Linked DNA regions of Drosophila melanogaster. The protein of the gene in region 2 interacts with the protein of the main gene of each other region in a pairwise test. Each region holds a gene or a part of one and is shown on either strand. Other genes may lie near its edges.

Region 1 (9,941 bases), 5.6 Mb from region 2:
GCCGAACGCCCGTGTACACAGCCATCCTGTTTACCATAACATTTCGGCGGAATTTTAACGCAGCCCTCTCGCTTTCCACCCATTTTCGTGGGCGTAACCCGCGAGCACTTTTCGCATCTGATTTATGCGAAATGTTAATTTTTGCGGCTTCCTAAGGGCTTCGACATGCCGGAGAAGTGTGCAAAATTCACCAGCGAATGTAGCAGAGATTTGCAAGTGTTTTTTTTTTTTTTTGCTACCTAAGGACCACAGGACTTTTTGGTAAATTGTTTGGTTTTGTTAGGGAGTAAACCACGAAGTGACTGAGCACAACGTTCTAGTCATATATAAGCGATAAGTATTATGAATCGAATACTTACTGTCGTTTCAAACTACACCAAAAATTATAAATTCAACATTTTTGAAAAAAAAAAAAACTAACATCATTGAACCTATCCTTTTGGATAGGTTTCTAATTGATTCAATACAGGATTACTCTTATATAATCTAAACTTTTTTAATCAGCTTCCAAAACCTTTAAGTATGCAACTACTCTCGAACAGCACTCTAGCCAACAGTAGCGCATAAATCTAAGTAATTGTGTGGCGAAACCAATTTGCACTTAAGATCAAAGAGCCAAATCGCCGTACAATAACCACACAAACCAAAACAGCCAAAAAAGAGAATCCCCTTCAGAAGGAAAGAAAAAACCTGAAGTAAAATGGCAAATCATCCTTGGCATGAAATCAGCTTACGAACTCAAGGTGATATCTCAACAGGCCGCAGGACAAAGGTCAGCAGAAGAGTGCGCCAAATCAAAACACAAAAAAAAGTGAAATCCTAATGAGATACTCCCTCCAGGGGCGAATCGGTCGACCACAAAATCCCAAGCGCTTGGCTGCACATCTTACAGATACATTTGCATATCATTTGGGAGATGCGAAGATCATGAGATAAAGATGTGCGGATCCGCCCTGTTGATCTGCCCAATCTTCCCCTCGAAGGAACTTCTGTTGAGACAGCCGCAGGCCAAAGGTTAAGGATAAGGATCATTTGCATGCGTGGCATGGACTTTCGGCAATTAGACGATCATGATCATCAGCATGTTTGTGTTTGTCCCGATCACCGGATAGGTATATCGCAGCTCATCAATTAAAAGGTCAAGCGTGACGGTCCTTGGGACTATTTGTTATGTCCTTAACTTCAACTTTACATAACTTTCCAAACGTAACTGGGTAGGATCCACACAGCACCCGCCCGCCTAAGCAACGCTAATCGGGCTGATCAGCGAACGCTAATCGCTCGGGACTAACTGGATCCTCCGGATCAGCGGCGCTGATCCTGCGTGATCCTGCGTACTGCGTAATGTTGGATTATGTCCTGTGCAGAAGTACGGCCAACTTTTAAATCGCTTTTAAATCCACATCACTCTAGTTCCAGTCGCACTTCTTCGGATGCGCGGATTAATGAACTGGGCGGGCCGATCAGGTAGCTTTGCGTCCTTTAATCCTTTCTTCGCTAAGTCCGGTTGCAGTTCGTATTCGTAATCCGGTTTGCCATGTCAACGTCAATGGCAGGTCTACCTCCGGTACTACCTGTTCCCGAGACGTCCTTTTGACACATATATTCCTCTGGATATGTGAGAGCAACTTGTATAATTTGCATTCCGGCGGCGATTTGTTTGCTCTGTTGTTTTGTAAATATTGCTTTTACATTTTCCCCACCCCCTCTGCCAACGCCCTAATTTCTCCCCGTTCCACTTTAGTTTTAGCCAAAATATTCGACATAAACAGGAGATTTTAGCCCAAATATTCCACATAAACAGGAGATTGAATAAAATAGCTGGAGGCACATTAATTCCGAACTTAATTATGAATTTGCATGTATGTTTTCTTTAGAAAAACTCTGATCCATACAAATAATAAGTTATCCTTTTGTATTGTATAGAGAAAAAAAGGTTTTTACCAATGAACTATGAATAATGAATAATAATAATAGTTTTTTTTTTTAGTCCAAAATTTGTCATTAAACCTAGTTAGAACAATCGCTCCTAATTTATCATTCTAAAAGCGAACATTCCGCTTGGGAAAAAAATTGGTCTAAACCGAATGATACTATTAATGATATGCATTTATTGCTAACCATAATCCTTGTCAAGCTAACAATGATACATTTTCCGAAATTAGCTTAAAAAGGTGGAATACACCCAATATGCACAAACTACCTTAAGGAGATTTGGAATTTCGAATGCTAATTGTGGCAAAGCTTTGCCCAAATTAAGTTAACACGCACAGCAACAGGAAAATGTGTTAAAGCAACAAGGAATCTCCTCGGCCCAAACTTCCATCGTCCCAATTGCAGTTGGCTAAGTTGTTAATGTGTCTGGGCTTAAAGTTGCCCAAAAAACAATTGGCGAAGGCCCCCCATCTTCCTCCATTTCCGCTCTCTCACTTTTGGGCCAGAAATCAATAATCAATAGTGAAGCGGAGATGCCAAAAAACGGCAAAGAGCCAAAAAGGCAGCTGCATTCGGCCAAAATGCAGCGCCAGAAAATGCAAAAGGATAAAATGAGCGAGTCAGAGCGAGAGAGTGGGTGAGTGAGTGAAAGAGCGAACGCCACGAAGGGGATGCTGTTTAGTTATTGCTTTTGGGGATGGGGAAAGTCACTCAGATTTACAGCTAGCATCCGTATCCGTTTTGAGTGAGTTTCGTCGTTACGTTGTTGATGCTCTCCGGCTGCTCTCTCATTTCGATTTCTGCTTCTCCGTGTAACGGCTCTCGTGCGCCTTTGTGTTGTTGCACTTCTGGCATTTGTTTTTGCTTTGCAATTGAGATTTTAGATTTGAGTTCTTTTTTGGCGAGTGCACTGTTGTGAGGAGCAGTGAGGAGATTTTCAGCTATTAGAAGAGCCCGCTGAGCGTGAGTTTGGTCAGTTGTGCTCCGAGTCCCGAAAACGAAAGTCGCCAGCATTGACAGGCAGCCACTGAAATACAAAAATAACCAAACATCCAAAGGACGAAACGTAACTGCTATCAAAACAAATATTGCCATTAAATACAATTAAACTTCGTGCTTGTGCTAAAAGATAACCAATTGCAAAAAGACTTTTGTCCCGAAAACTTATTTTTTGGCAAAGACCACATCCCGCACATGCGCGAATTCCGCGAAAAAGAAAGCACAAAAGCAAGCTAAAAAGCGAGGCCCAAAAAATAGACAAAAACGAAGAGCAAGGAGCCCCCACATCGCCGCTCCCCCTCGCACGCACTGTGCGTGTTGGTCTAACGGTAACCGTGCCGCGGTCAAGCGAGAGAGTGGGAAAGAGAGAGTCCGCGAGCGAAAAGCGAAAACTTACGTGCTCCTGCTCCTGCTCCCGGTTCCCGTTTCCAAATTCTCCCGCAGAATTGCACTTGGACTGTCCGCAAGGTAAGTAACTGGGCGTACCATCCAATATCCTAGTTATACACTGCATTCGACCTCCAATAAATCGTAAAAAACACATGGAGGTAGAAATTCGCAAAAGCTTTCCGCGGATAAACAAATAAACAAGAATTACAAATCGCTTTTGCGGGAGCAAATGCCAAAATGTTGGGGTATCCAGAATATACACAGTTTTTGTGAGGATTTACATACGCCCTGTAAATTTTAATTTAGTTCTCAATTGATACGAAATCTGTTTTTTTTTATAGAATATATTCGATATATAGTTGTTTAATTATAATTCATCATGTGATATACTTTCAAAAGAAACAGATTTAAATAGTTCGTTTATATGCTATTATGCACTATGCTTAATGTATTTTACTTTATTAATTCATGCTAATCTGATGACTGATAACCAATTTGCTTATTCTATGTCATAATCACCTTTAATCCCAAGTACTCAACTTTCTTCTAGTTCTGCACATTTTCTTGTTCTCTTCTTGTTGTTTGTAATCGAGTGCTTCTTTTTCTGTCTAACCTTAGGAACACAAACAAGAGATCTCACACACATGCACACACACAACCACACAGAGTGGTAAATCATTGCTAAAAATGCAAATGGCAAAAATTCTAAAACAATATTTTAAAATCTGTCTGGCTTTTGGCCGATCTTCGGGTGAACTTGTTTTTTGCCCGCTCTGTCTGTTTTTGCCTAGAACTGCAGCGTATATCCAACCCCCAACCGACCCCCCCCCCTCCTCATTTGCTCCTCCTAAGCAACGCCCCTGGCCACGCCCCCCTCTACGCCTGACAGCTAATTTTATTTGTTTACATGTCGACTTTCATGTTGTTTTTTTTTCGCCTTCCTGCCCCCCAAATAACCCCTTCAATTTTTAGCATTTCTTTTCGCTCTTCTTTCGGCAAATGCATTTTCGACTTTTCTTTTTTAATAATTTAAATTTAGACATCGAACTATAATTCAAAGTCAACGTGGCAATTTTTTAATGGCAAATAGTTCGGCACTTGCCAAAATGCATTTCAAATATAATGAATACACCTATGTGACGCTCGCAGGCTTTGTTTTTTTTTTTTGTTTAGGATGATGATGGGAATCATTATTGCACGATCTTTTGCAGAATTGATTGTCATCCGACAGTTTTAATGTTTGCCGACAAAAAGAACTGAGCGCATTTCAAACAAATGGGGCTTTGTTAGGCGCATAAAAATAAATATGCACATATTATACGGGATATATTTATAAACCGCAAATGACATTGAATCACTTCAGTCAGCAGCAGCAGTGCAGTTTTCCCTAAACGAATGCAGCTCCAAAAAACAACAAGTTGTTCTAAGCCAACAACATAACGGTTGCAACTACACATATGTATACGCATACATACATATATTTTATATACGCCTGCAAACAAGCAGGCATATCCTGCTCTTGGCTTGCTTTTTGTACGGATTTTTCAACAAAAACATTTTTTGTGTGGCGCATTTTCTGCGTTTTCGAATTTTTCCATTTTTGCCATTTTCATGATATTTTTAGAGGGTTAAAAAGGGGGCGGTGTTGGGGTGGGGGGGGAGGCACCAAAAACGACTAGCACATGTTTAGTTTACTTTTGCAGTTTCGGTTGCCTGGCTGCACTCGTTGTGGCCACACCACGCCACTAACCCCCACTGCATGGTCCCCATGCCCCCACCCCTGCCCCCTTGGCCCATGCCCCTGCCCGGCGTAATATTAATTTTACACTTGGCCTTTAGTTTGGCTTTGTTGCTGTTGTTGGGCATGGCACAAAAAAGCCCAGACGAAAGGCGAAAATTCTCTTTGTTTCATAGTGCGCACACACACTAACACACTTGCCGAGCAATTAATTTTGGCTTTCTTTAAAAATATCCACAAAAGCGAATTTAAATAAATATGCTAAGCTTCATTTTGTGTGGTGCACTTTCTGTTTCCTGAACCATCAATTATGCCTAAGTATTGTAGATATTTTAGCTGCCAGATAGCACAGCACCATCCTCCCATAATAATATTCCGTAAATGCCCCTTTTTCCCGTTTTGCGTTTTTAATAATATTTACTTGAAAGCACAAACAATTAGCCAAAAATGCAGCAACTGCACAATTTTTCAGTGTGAAATTGGAAATGGAAAAAATATAGGCAACAAGCAATTTTAATGCGAGAATTATTAGAAAAACTACGCAAATCAAAGTGAAATGTCTGGCGGAAAATTGTTGTCAGGAAAATGTTTTTCAAATGGGTGTGTAATAATTATACTGCACATATTATGCATATAGTTTAGTTGGTCCTTAGAGTTTTCCCGCAGGTGTAAGCAGTTCTGATCCGTTAATTTAGTTAAGTCCCGCAATCCTTTTTACTTTTTATTATTAACTACGAAACTGCCCACGCTAGCTGCCTACTCCTGCTGTCGACTCCTGACCAACGTAATCCCCATAGAAAACCGGTGGAAAATTCGCAGCTCGCTGCTAAGCTGGCCATCCGCTAAGCTCCCGGATCATCCAAATCCAAGTGCGCATAATTTTTTGTTTCTGCTCTAATCCAGAATGGATCAAGAGCGCAATCCTCAATCCGCGATCCGTGATCCTCGATTCCCGACCGATCCGCGACCTGTACCTGACTTCCCGTCACCTCTGCCCATCTAATCCCTTGACGCGTGCATCCGTCTACCTGAGCGATATATAAACTAATGCCTGTTGCAATTGTTCAGTCAGTCACGAGTTTGTTACCACTGCGACAACACAACAGAAGCAGCACCAATAATATACTTGCAAATCCTTACGAAAATCCCGACAAATTTGGAATATACTTCGATACAATCGCAATCATACGCACTGAGCGGCCACGAAACGGTAGGATATTGTTAGCCATTACCAAGTGTCTCCATTTTGAACACAAAATCACTCAAATCGCCTTCAGGGGGTGGGTGCCGCCCAGCCACCCCTGACGTATTTTTTGTTAGGGGTGGTGCCGCAAGCACACCAAAAAAAGAGAAAAAAAAAATAAAAGCGAGGAAAAATAAAATGAAAAACAAGCGGAAAAAAAGAGGAAAAAACTCGACGCAGGCGCAGTGCATGAATGAATAAATGAATATGCCCACTAACCCCACTCTCTCTGTTTTCTTATCCATTACAGCCGTCTAGAGCCGCCAAGATGCAGAACTGGGAGACGACAGCCACGACCAACTACGAGCAGCACAACGCCTGGTACAACAGCATGTTCGCGGCAAATATCAAACAGGAGCCAGGTCATCATCTCGACGGGAATAGCGTGGCCAGCAGTCCGCGCCAATCGCCCATTCCCTCGACCAATCACCTGGAACAGTTCCTCAAGCAGCAGCAGCAGCAGCTTCAGCAGCAACCCATGGATACCCTGTGCGCCATGACCCCATCACCCAGCCAAAACGATCAAAACAGCCTGCAGCATTACGATGCTAACTTGCAGCAACAGTTGCTGCAGCAACAGCAGTACCAGCAGCATTTCCAGGCAGCCCAGCAGCAACATCATCACCATCACCATCTGATGGGTGGATTCAATCCGCTGACGCCACCTGGTCTGCCCAATCCCATGCAGCACTTCTATGGCGGCAATCTGCGACCCAGTCCGCAGCCCACGCCCACATCTGCCTCCACAATTGCGCCCGTTGCAGTTGCCACTGGCAGCAGCGAGAAGTTGCAGGCACTAACACCACCCATGGATGTCACACCGCCTAAGTCGCCGGCCAAGTCGAGTCAGTCGAATATTGAGCCGGAGAAGGAGCACGATCAGATGTCGAACTCCAGCGAGGACATGAAGTACATGGCCGAGTCCGAGGACGATGATACCAACATCCGGATGCCCATCTACAATTCGCACGGCAAGATGAAGAACTACAAGTGCAAGACCTGCGGCGTGGTGGCCATCACCAAGGTGGACTTCTGGGCGCACACCCGCACCCACATGAAACCAGACAAGATCCTGCAGTGCCCGAAGTGCCCGTTCGTCACCGAGTTCAAGCACCACTTGGAGTACCATATCCGGAAGCACAAGAACCAAAAGCCCTTCCAGTGCGACAAATGCAGCTACACGTGTGTCAACAAATCCATGCTAAACTCGCACCGCAAGTCGCACAGTTCTGTGTATCAGTACCGTTGTGCGGATTGTGATTACGCCACCAAGTATTGCCACAGCTTCAAGCTGCATCTGCGCAAGTATGGTCACAAGCCCGGCATGGTTTTGGACGAGGATGGCACCCCGAATCCCTCGTTGGTCATCGATGTTTACGGCACGCGTCGTGGTCCGAAGAGCAAGAATGGTGGACCGATTGCCAGTGGAGGAAGTGGCAGCGGCAGCCGGAAGTCAAATGTTGCAGCTGTCGCTCCGCAGCAACAGCAATCTCAGCCAGCTCAGCCAGTCGCCACATCTCAGCTGAGTGCCGCCCTGCAAGGATTCCCTCTGGTTCAAGGCAACTCCGCTCCTCCGGCGGCATCTCCAGTGCTCCCGCTGCCCGCCTCTCCTGCCAAGAGTGTGGCCAGTGTGGAACAGACGCCCAGCTTGCCCAGTCCAGCCAATCTTCTGCCTCCTCTGGCCAGCCTTCTGCAGCAGAACCGCAACATGGCCTTCTTCCCCTACTGGAACCTCAATCTCCAGATGCTGGCCGCCCAACAACAGGCCGCTGTCTTGGCCCAATTGTCGCCAAGAATGCGAGAGCAACTGCAGCAACAGAACCAGCAGCAGAGCGACAATGAGGAGGAGGAGCAGGACGATGAGTACGAGCGTAAGTCAGTGGACTCTGCCATGGATCTGTCCCAAGGAACGCCAGTGAAGGAGGATGAGCAGCAGCAACAACCGCAGCAGCCGCTGGCCATGAATCTCAAGGTGGAGGAGGAGGCCACGCCTCTGATGAGCAGCTCGAATGCCTCGAGACGCAAGGGACGCGTCCTCAAGCTGGACACCCTGTTACAACTGCGATCGGAGGCCATGACATCTCCCGAGCAACTGAAAGTACCCAGCACACCCATGCCAACTGCATCCTCGCCCATTGCCGGACGCAAACCCATGCCCGAGGAGCACTGCTCGGGCACCAGTTCGGCAGATGAGTCGATGGAGACGGCCCATGTGCCGCAGGCCAATACCAGTGCCAGTTCGACGGCGTCCAGCTCGGGGAACAGCTCCAATGCCAGCAGCAATAGCAACGGCAACAGCAGCAGCAATTCCAGCAGCAATGGAACCACCTCAGCGGTTGCAGCTCCTCCATCCGGAACTCCGGCGGCGGCGGGTGCCATCTACGAGTGCAAGTACTGTGATATCTTCTTCAAGGACGCCGTGCTCTACACCATTCACATGGGCTACCACAGCTGCGACGATGTGTTCAAGTGCAACATGTGCGGCGAGAAGTGCGACGGACCCGTCGGCCTCTTCGTTCACATGGCCAGGAATGCTCACTCCTAAGTTCCCCATCACCATCACCTTGTTATTATTATTTATCACTATTATCATATAATCGTTGTCCAGAATTGTATATATTCGTAGCATAAGTTTTCCAAACATTATTTTGTTGTCGAAAATTGTACATAAGCCAATTAAGCCGCTAATTCTAGACCTAAGTTTATCTAACTATCCTAACTGTATTGAACTGTAGCCACCTTTCAATCTGTCTCCTATACACTCTTGTATTTTCGAAATCGACTAAAAACCCTGAAAACGGTTTAAAAACTATCATAAATGCATGGAGAAACATAAGCCTAAGTTAAATCTAATTTGTAAGTTGAGTCAAGCGAAACAACCAAACAATACCAACAGTCCAAAGTCAAATTAATAAAATATAGTTTATAACATATACATAATGAGTATGTTTTCTAAAATAATTAATTAGTCTTATTTAACCTAACATATTCGTATATGCGCATAACACTCAGTTCTTTCTCTGATATTATTCTCTCAGTATTTTGTTAGTTGAAAGCGAATTCGAATCGAACGAAATCAAATCAAATAAATCCAATTATTCAATATAATTTCACAAGTTTTTCGCTTTTTTTTTTTGTTGTTAACCTTTTGGCAATAATGACAATATTTTCGATGCAACTGAAACTGACGAAAGAAGAAGTACAAATTTAGAGATTTTTAAAGAGTAGCTAAGATGCGCGAAATCTGAGCAACGGATCAAAATTAGTATTTACCCCATAAAATCTAAGTCGAGGTCATGAAACGAATTTCGAGACTTAAGATGTGAGCCCAGTGTAATCCTTGATAAATCCCATTTTAAGTAAATTAAACTAGTCTAAGATATTTGCCCACGAAATGTTTTTATGCAATAACATAATAAAGATGAAGATATTATTATTATTATACCTGACTATGACTTTAGCTTTCATTATTATATATGGTGTTTTATTTAGTGCGTTGTACTATGAACACTCATACATATCCTGGAGATTCCTTTAACTTTCTTCAACAGAACCCCAGCATATTATAATATATCCCTTATCCAACCATATGGCCAAGTACTGACCAATGGAACTGTCAACACGCGATCTTTAAAC
Region 2 (8,676 bases):
CTTCCGGTGAGAACGACTATTGGTATCGATTCACGCTGAAGAAGCTCGCCTGGAACGGCAACGACTTTAGTATCTACCTCACCCTGTCCAGTGGCGCTGCACTGGTGGGCACCTTCATTGGCACTGCCATCTTGAGCAAGCTACTCAAGGTCTCCGACTCCATGATTGGCATGCTCTCCGCCCTGTCCATTGTCTGTTCCCGCGTCCTTTTCGTAAGTTTTTAGATTCTAGTTGGAATTCAGTGGTATATATGCATAGTTTTTGAATTCCTGCAGGCCTTCTCCAGCAGCACTGCCTCATTTTACGTTGCTGGTGTGGTGGACATGTTCGTCAGTCTGCGAGTGATTGCCATCAAGACCATCGGTTCGAGCATTGTGGCTGGCGACGAGCTGAGTAAGTTTACTAAGGTCAACGCTATAGTCTCGACTATAAGATACCGGTTAGTCAGACGAGAGAGATTGATATTCAGATAGCAGAATTTGAATGCTTTGGAATGCAGTTGAAATGTGGTTGCGTCTAATTAGTAAATACACTTTCGGGCTAAGCTACTTTTAGAGTGGATTTTATTTTTTTAAATAAATAATAATAACTAAATAATTTTCAGGCAAAATGTACTCCATCTTTGGCATCAGTGAGCCAATTGCCCAATTCATTTTCCCGCCAATCTTCAGTGAGATTTACAAGAGCACGGTGGATTCATTCCCAGGTGCCATTTGGCTCTTTGGCGAAATCTTCTACATTCCCAATGTCTTGGTCTTCGTGTAAGTTATTTAAGGTTTTCATAAGTTAACTCTAAATTTATAAATGATTTTTTTTTTTAATTCTAGTGTGTGCTACTTCCTGCTGCGGCGTCGAAAGGCCAACGAGGAGAAGAGCGTCGTGGAAATGGAGCAGAATGGTGGAGCAAATGGTGGCAATCGGGCAAGCGTGGTGCCCGATAGCGAAATAACTAGTCTGTAACGTACTTAATGCCAGTCCGTGTTATATATATATTTTTATATATTTATAATATAAATTGTATATTTTTTGTATATTTATAGGGAATTTTTATAGCATTTTATATTACCAACGAGTTGATCTTTAACTTTCATTTGCTGAAAGTGTGAGTTTAAAGTTAGTAAGCATATTAAAAACAGTTGTAACTAGTCCACATATAACTTAATTAAAGTCGTTGCTATTTTTGGCCGAGTCCATTTGCAAATCCATTTACCTGAGGTCATCCAAGTCTAATTTGGACATTTTACTCCCCTTTTGGAGTGGGAAGAAAATTACTTTTTCGGCTCAAGCATTTTATTTTAAGCCTTTTGCCTTTTGCCTTTTGCCACCCACTTTCGGATTTTGCCCGGGAAAAGTGGTAGTTTTCCAATCAGCAAATGCATTCAGTTTGAGCAGCCAGCTGTCGTTGGTACAAGGGGCGGTGGCGGCAGCTGGGGGCGTGGCCACATGTGGGCGCTAACTGCCAAGTTGAAACAATTGGGTGCTAATAATCCCCGGTTAATCTGGGTAAGTGTGTGTTTCTGGAGGGCATTGAAGCAAGGATTCTGGAGGAAAACGCAGACACATCACGCATCCTTTGGCATCAATCCTTAATGGCTATCTAACAACGATATAAAAGCCCGTCGAGGAGCATCAATAGTTCAGACGCAGTTGTGATTCGAACGCGAAAGGAACCAACCGAGATTACCGAGTGTCCTGCAAACAGGACTAACTTCTGCCGAAACATGTTGCGCCTCCTGCTGCTGCCCCTCTTCCTCTTCACGCTCTCCATGTGCATGGGCCAGACCTTCCAGTACTCCCGCGGATGGACCAACGGCAAGAGGTCCTTTAACGCCGCATCTCCCCTCCTGGCCAACGGCCATCTCCATCGGGCCAGCGAGCTGGGACTCACGGATCTCTACGATTTGCAGGATTGGAGCAGCGATCGTAGGCTCGAGCGGTAAGTTTCATCGAAAGAATAACAGAAATATACAACTTTATTTTTAAAATACATAAAGAATATGATAACCCAAAAACATTCCATTAGATACCTATTAAAATCATATAACTAAGGAATTATATATTATAATTGCCCTACTTATACACTTCATTCCTACTTATTTTCTTGTTTTTTATGTATTAAAGTAATATTTTAAAATTTTCCTCCAGCTGTCTATCGCAGCTCCAACGTTCACTGATTGCCAGAAACTGTGTCCCCGGTTCGGACTTCAATGCCAACCGAGTAGATCCGGATCCCGAAAACAGCGCCCATCCCAGACTGAGCAACTCTAATGGCGAGAATGTTTTGTACTCAAGTGCCAATATCCCCAACAGACATCGCCAGTCCAACGAACTCCTAGAAGAGCTGAGTGCCGCTGGAGGAGCATCCGCCGAACCCAATGTGTTTGGAAAACATTAGCCACTATCCGTTCAATGTGAAATCTATTGTAAACTAGCAAAAAATGCTACAAAAATGTAAAAAAAATTGTTGTAAACGGTTAATAAAACACAGGATTTTTATGAATTACTTAACTGTCTTTTTTTAATATCCAAGAAGAGTATTTTAAATATTTAAATAGTGTAAATAATAGAGTTGTTTCAGATACCATTTACATGAGGTCATTAGAAAATGTATGTAATAAATCCAAAACCTTCGTCTTTTTCTAATGGTACCATTAGACCACTTAGATATAAATAATTCATATTTAGTCAAATTGATTTAACATATCTTTTTCAACTTAATACTTTAGTACTGCCCAACACAGCTTTAAAACATGCTGAAAATATGAAAATATACTGAATTTGGTATTACAAAATGAGGCCGCATACACGAGAGGTGAAAGCAGATGCGCAATCTGGTAACACTAACCGACGCAAAAAAGAAAGAACCAAAAAAGTTTGCGGAAAAGTGCAACAATTAATTTCCCCCGCCATTGAAATGCTGCCATGCATAAAGTCGATCGCATCCGTTTAAAAATGCGCTTCTGCGTATGACGACAGTTTTCCGAGCGAGGTGCATTGCGGGGACTCACATTATTTTCCCTCTTTTTTTCCCTTCTTTTGGTCTTCTTCCTCTTTCGCTCGCTTCGCACAACAACAATAACGACTACGTTTTTTCAGTGGCGAAAACTGTACGCAAGAGGGGCGAGTAGAGGAGAAAAGTGCATGGCAGAGAGCGAGAGTAAGAGAGGTAGAAAAGGAGGAAAAAAAAACACACATGTAATGTGCAATTGTTTTATGAGTTCTACGTTAATTTTGTTGTTTGTTTTTTTTCGGTTACCTTCAGGTAATTGCAGTTTGGTTTTTCCGCGTGTGCGTGTGAGAGGTAAAACGCGTGTCCAGAAAAAAACGCGCCAACGCCAAAAAAAAACCCAAGTAACTACCGCCCACACAGCGATCACGCGCCCCCAACCCATTTTAAATGATAATGGTGCGAAGACGACAACGGCCCGCCAAGGAAGCCGCATCCTCATCCTCTGGTGGAGCTTCCTCGGGATCGGGAATTCCTGTTGACCAGGCACTGCCACTGAATGTGGCGGGAAATCTGCTGGAGGATCAGTATTTTGCCAGCCCCAAGCGGAAAGACTGCCGTTTGATGAAGGTCACTCAAAATGGCCAACTGCCGGAAGCCACAATGATGGCACACAACAAAGACAACAAAGCGGGTCGCACAATAGGTGAGTACGCTTCTCGTACTTTTTAGGTTAGCTGTGTTGGCTAAAATACCCCTTGTTTGTTATTTTTCAAGGAGTTCCCTTGGCCACGCGCTCACAAACTCGCACCATTGAGAACTTCTTCAAAGCCAATGCTGCCGCTAAGGATTCCCAAAAGACAATACACACAGAGGAGCAGTTGAATCTAGGAAATCAGGAACTGAAACTGGACGATGAGGAGCTAAATGGACAGATAAAACTAGATGACGAGGTGCTAAAGCTGGCAGACAAGCAGATAAATGAAAACCTTCCCTTTGCCGACGAAGTAGATGCCAAGGCAGAACAAAAGCTTATGGATGAGGAACTGCAGCAGGTGGTGGAGGAACTTCTGTTCGATGGCAGTTCCAGAGCGTCCTCCAATTCGCCCTTTTATCAGCATGATATGGATGTCATGCAGGAGATCCAGCAGACTCCAGAAATTCCACACATCAAAAAGGTCACAGAGCCGCTCGAGGGACTGGGCTCTCTGGCCGACTTCCAGACACATCGCTCTGCGCTGAGGGACAGCCACAGTTCCACGCACAGCAGCAGCACCGACAACATCTTCCTGCAGGAGCCGGTACTGACCCTGGACATTGATCGCACGCCCACCAAAGCCTCCAGCATAAAGATCAATCGGAGCTTCGAACTGGCCGGAGCCGTATTCTCATCACCTCCGTCGGTGCTAAACGCCTGTCTCAATGGACGCTTCAATCAAATAGTAAGCCTGAATGGACAAAAGGAGGCGCTGGACTTGCCGCACTTCGATTTGGATCAACATGACAGTAGTTCTTGCGACAGCGGAGTAGCCTGTGGTCTCACTGCCAATACAGAATCGCCAGCGGGGCAACCCCGACGCAGAAAACCAGCCACACCGCATCGCATCCTCTGCCCCTCGCCAATCAAAACGGCTTTGAAGGTAACTGGAGGGATTTGCAAGGTCGGATCTGCGGATCCATTGTCGCCGCGCAAGTCTCCTCGAAAACTGCCGACCACAACAGCAGCGGTGGCAGCCTGCAAGTCGCGTCGAAGACTGAACCAGCCAAAGCCACAAGCGCCTTACCAGCCACAGCTACAGAAACCACCGTCACAACAGCAGCAGCAGCAGCAGGATGATATCGTCGTGGTGCTAGACGACGACGATGATGAAGGAGATGACGAGGACGACGTTCGAGCCCTGATCAAGGCTGCCGAGGAGCGTGAAAACCAGAACAAAGCACCAGCCACAGCGAACAGCAACAAAGCAGGCATGAAAACGATGCTCAAGCCTGCGCCCGTGAAATCAAAGACCAAAAGCAAGGGGCCAACGAAGGGACAACCGCCGCTGCCCTTGGCTGCCACCAACGGCAATCGTGAGATGACGGACTTCTTCCCGGTGCGAAGGAGTGTGCGCAAGACTAAGACGGCCGTCAAGGAGGAATGGATGCGAGGCTTGGAGCAAGCAGTGCTGGAAGAGCGCTGCGATGGTCTCCAAGTACGCCACTTTATGGGCAAGGGAAGAGGCGTAGTCGCCGATCGGCCCTTTAAACGCAACGAATTTGTGGTTGAGTATGTGGGAGATCTCATATCTATAGGCGAAGCCGCGGAACGGGAGAAACGCTATGCGTTGGACGAGAATGCTGGGTGCTATATGTACTACTTCAAGCACAAGTCCCAGCAGTACTGCATCGATGCAACCGTTGACACCGGCAAGCTGGGGCGCCTCATCAATCACTCGCGGGCTGGTAACCTAATGACCAAAGTAGTACTTATCAAACAGCGGCCGCATCTCGTACTCCTGGCCAAGGACGACATCGAGCCGGGCGAGGAACTGACCTATGACTACGGGGACCGATCGAAGGAGTCACTATTGCACCATCCTTGGTTGGCCTTCTGAGGAAGAGCTCTCCAGGAGCTCGCGAAAGGGGTTGCGGTACAGCCTTAAAACGAAGACTATTTACCATGTTCAGGGCAGAGAATCTTTAAAATAATAAGACCTGGGCTAAACTGGTTTTTGGCTCGAGGGAATCTTTCTTAGCTTTTATACGTAGATTGCCTTGCCTTGAACCACTGCAAAATTGTTTTCAGACCTGTTTCCGTGTGATAAGTTGCCGGAATTTGATTCATTTACAAAGTTTCATTAAGCAAAATTATATCAATATTGCAAGCACTTATATTTTTGGTAAGACCAATTCAATCATTACGAATTCCGGCAATTTGGATCGGAATGGAGAGAGGCGTATTTGACACCGGTTCTGGGCAGCCCCGAGCTTAGATCTTATTTGAGGAAAAGTATATAAACTGTTAGTTCAAAATATCATAACGGATAGCGAAACCCACACGCCCCACACCCAAGGGTGGTTCCAGCCAGGGACGAAAAGTAATCAATGTAAATTCTAACAAGTTTGCCTCAGAAATAGGTCTAATGTCAATTTCGATCTTCGGCGTTACCAAAATAAGTTACAAATGAAGTTAATATTTCCCTTTGGGTCAGTGAAATAATCGAAATTATCAATTAAGAACAAATTTATCAAAAAGACCTAGACTATACAGATTGTAAATTGATATTAGACCCATGATCCCCAAAGCAAAATGCCTTTAAATTGTACGATTACGATTCAATCCCTATAAGACTCATTATCGATCCACCCGTGATCCAAGCAACCCCCCCCTCCCCCTCCCTCCTTACACAAACTCATGAGCATCTTTTTGGATTTGTTAGCGTTTCATTATGTTTAGAGCAAGGCTAAAGTTAAGGAGAGATAATAATGATAATAATAATAATAAAAACAACGCGCTTAAGCATTAAGGCATCTTAAGATAATTGAATGAAATCGAAAAACTGTTGACCATTTGAAAAGAGATGATGATGTTGATGAAGCCACGCATTCACATTGACAAGAATCGATTGTACACTATTTATATAGATATTTATATTAGATACATGTGTAATTTCTAACTATTACGTACTATTTACTGCCATAGAGCTATACACTCCCCCTCGCACCTGTCCCAAAAAAAAAAAAAAAACCCCTAGGAACTGACACTACTGAATTGTTGATTTAACCCATTGACACACTCATTAATTCTCGAGGCTTCTCCAGGAGAGTAGTGGCCTGCTGGACACCTAGTGCTTCGACTTACTGATAATCTCTCTACTTACACGCAGGTTTCAATCACACACTCAAGCAATTAAATGATAAATCACCCCGCCCCTGCCCCCGAAAATACGGCATCGTTAGTTAATCGACTTAGTTCAAATTTGTGTTGTCCCATTTGAACCAGATTTCTGTATTTTAAATGAATGCTCCAATATATTGAAGGATTTTGTTTTTTTAAATAGGTTTATTTTAATCAGCGCATATCTTTTAATTATACAATATGGTAAATATATTTTAATACGTTCTAGTACATAGGTAATTCATTTATTTAAAACCAAGCAGCAACCATCTATAATCATGTTCTTGTTTTTACCTTTTTTTTTCATTGACTTGGCAAAATGAAACAAAACAAATTGAAATCTATTTGTAATTTACATTTAAGCCTAAAAACATATGATTACATCAAACACTTAGTTTTAGTCGATAATTGTTTATAATTTTTCAGACACACACACACACAGACACATTCAACTTAAAGTGCGTAACATAAAGTAAAATAAATAAATGAAAACACATTAACACGAACAAAACAATAATCAAGAACTGGAGCGGATTGGGTTTCGTTTTCCAGCGATTACCTGGAGATCATCATGGCAACCAGTCACACTCATTTACACTTGGAATGCATGGGAGTTCTTCTATCAACTAACAAATCCTATTTCATATACAACACGTTAACTATGTTTGCTTGGTTAGTTCGCTTTCCTGTCGCTTGTTATAAGTACACAATATAGAAAAAATTCGCATCAGGCGGGTTGGGTTTTCATCCATGTGGTGGTGGTGGCCCGCAATCGCATTGGAGTATTTGTTATGGATATACAAAAGGGGAAGTTCGCCGCTAGTGGAATGCATTTGTAGGCTTTGCCGCAGGGATTAACTGATGATATTCCTCAGATAGGCGGAGTTTTCCGATTTAGGGTTCTAACTTTGGGGTTGATTAAAGCTAAAATCATCATGGAACTAATAGTTTTACATTTTTAAAAGTAATGCCGATTTTTTCCTTACTTGGGATACTTCCGAAATCCTTGTTATTAATTTGTATCTTTTCTTTTTTGGTCATCTATGATAAATCTTATGTTGTTATATTGATATGACCGCATAGAGATATTGCATGCTATCGGATGCATAAGCTTAAACCTTAAAATCTCGCAGGATTTCAGAAATATCCCTTAAATTACATAATTTCACTGGTGTGCGGTATTCTTTTTCGTTTTACTTTACAATTCTTCTAGAGTTTTTTGACTTATTTACCCAATAATTCGAATTCTAAAAGTATATCCGATCATTTAAATAATATTAGATAAAAACAAAGAATTTTTCAAGCATACTAACAGTTTTTTCGCTCTACAAAATATTATTTTTCAAAAGTATAATTTTTTTCGTCAAATTAAGTAAAACATAAATTTAGAATCAAACTATAGCACAAAATGGTTACTTGTTTGTTTCGTTCTAAATCCTGATTTTTACGCCTAAGACTACAACATGCATGCACAACAACAACAACAATTATGCCAACGACAAGGTTAACAACAACGACAACAACATGGAACACAGCTTGCCTCAAAACTACAATGTGTGACGGTTCGGATTATGGTGAATATCAGACGGATTCATAATACTGACTGGCTACCCGGGTGCGCGATCGATCCTTTCGCCTATGTGAGGATGGTGGCCTCGCCGCCACCCAGTGGGCGAGGAGCGCCCACATGCGGACGCTGCTGCTGCTGCTGGAGCCGCCCACCGCCCACCCTCAGCTTCTTGTGTCATTTCTTGCCACCGAAAGTGGGTTTCGGTAGCGCACCCATGAACGCACCAGCATTTGTGGGCAAGGCCGGTGCAACGAAGCTGAGATCGGGGATCAGGGAGAT

The links.
Region 1: the proteins of Set8 (region 2) and hb interact in a two-hybrid assay, tested with the Drosophila melanogaster proteins (one large-scale study listed by BioGRID).

What each region holds. Positions count from the first base shown.
Region 1 is NT_033777.3:8,690,787-8,700,727, reverse strand, and holds hb (hunchback), read left to right. Parts: upstream 1-2,905; 5' UTR 2,906-3,402; intron 3,403-6,127; exon of another isoform or gene 6,128-6,272; intron 6,273-6,555; 5' UTR 6,556-6,573; coding exon 6,574-8,850; 3' UTR 8,851-9,239; downstream 9,240-9,941. UniProt on the Drosophila melanogaster protein: Gap class segmentation protein that controls development of head structures.
Region 2 is NT_033777.3:14,313,215-14,321,890, forward strand, and holds Set8 (SET domain containing 8), read left to right. Parts: upstream 1-2,823; 5' UTR 2,824-2,989; intron 2,990-3,096; 5' UTR 3,097-3,166; intron 3,167-3,262; 5' UTR 3,263-3,397; coding exon 3,398-3,653; intron 3,654-3,724; coding exon 3,725-5,544; 3' UTR 5,545-7,280; downstream 7,281-8,676. Other genes in the region: CG31321 (uncharacterized protein), read left to right, coding at 1-212, 276-393, 605-761, 828-960; Crz (corazonin), read left to right, coding at 1,722-1,936, 2,146-2,395; Afti (aftiphilin), read right to left, coding at 8,572-8,676. UniProt on the Drosophila melanogaster protein: Histone methyltransferase that specifically monomethylates 'Lys-20' of histone H4. H4 'Lys-20' monomethylation is enriched during mitosis and represents a specific tag for epigenetic transcriptional repression.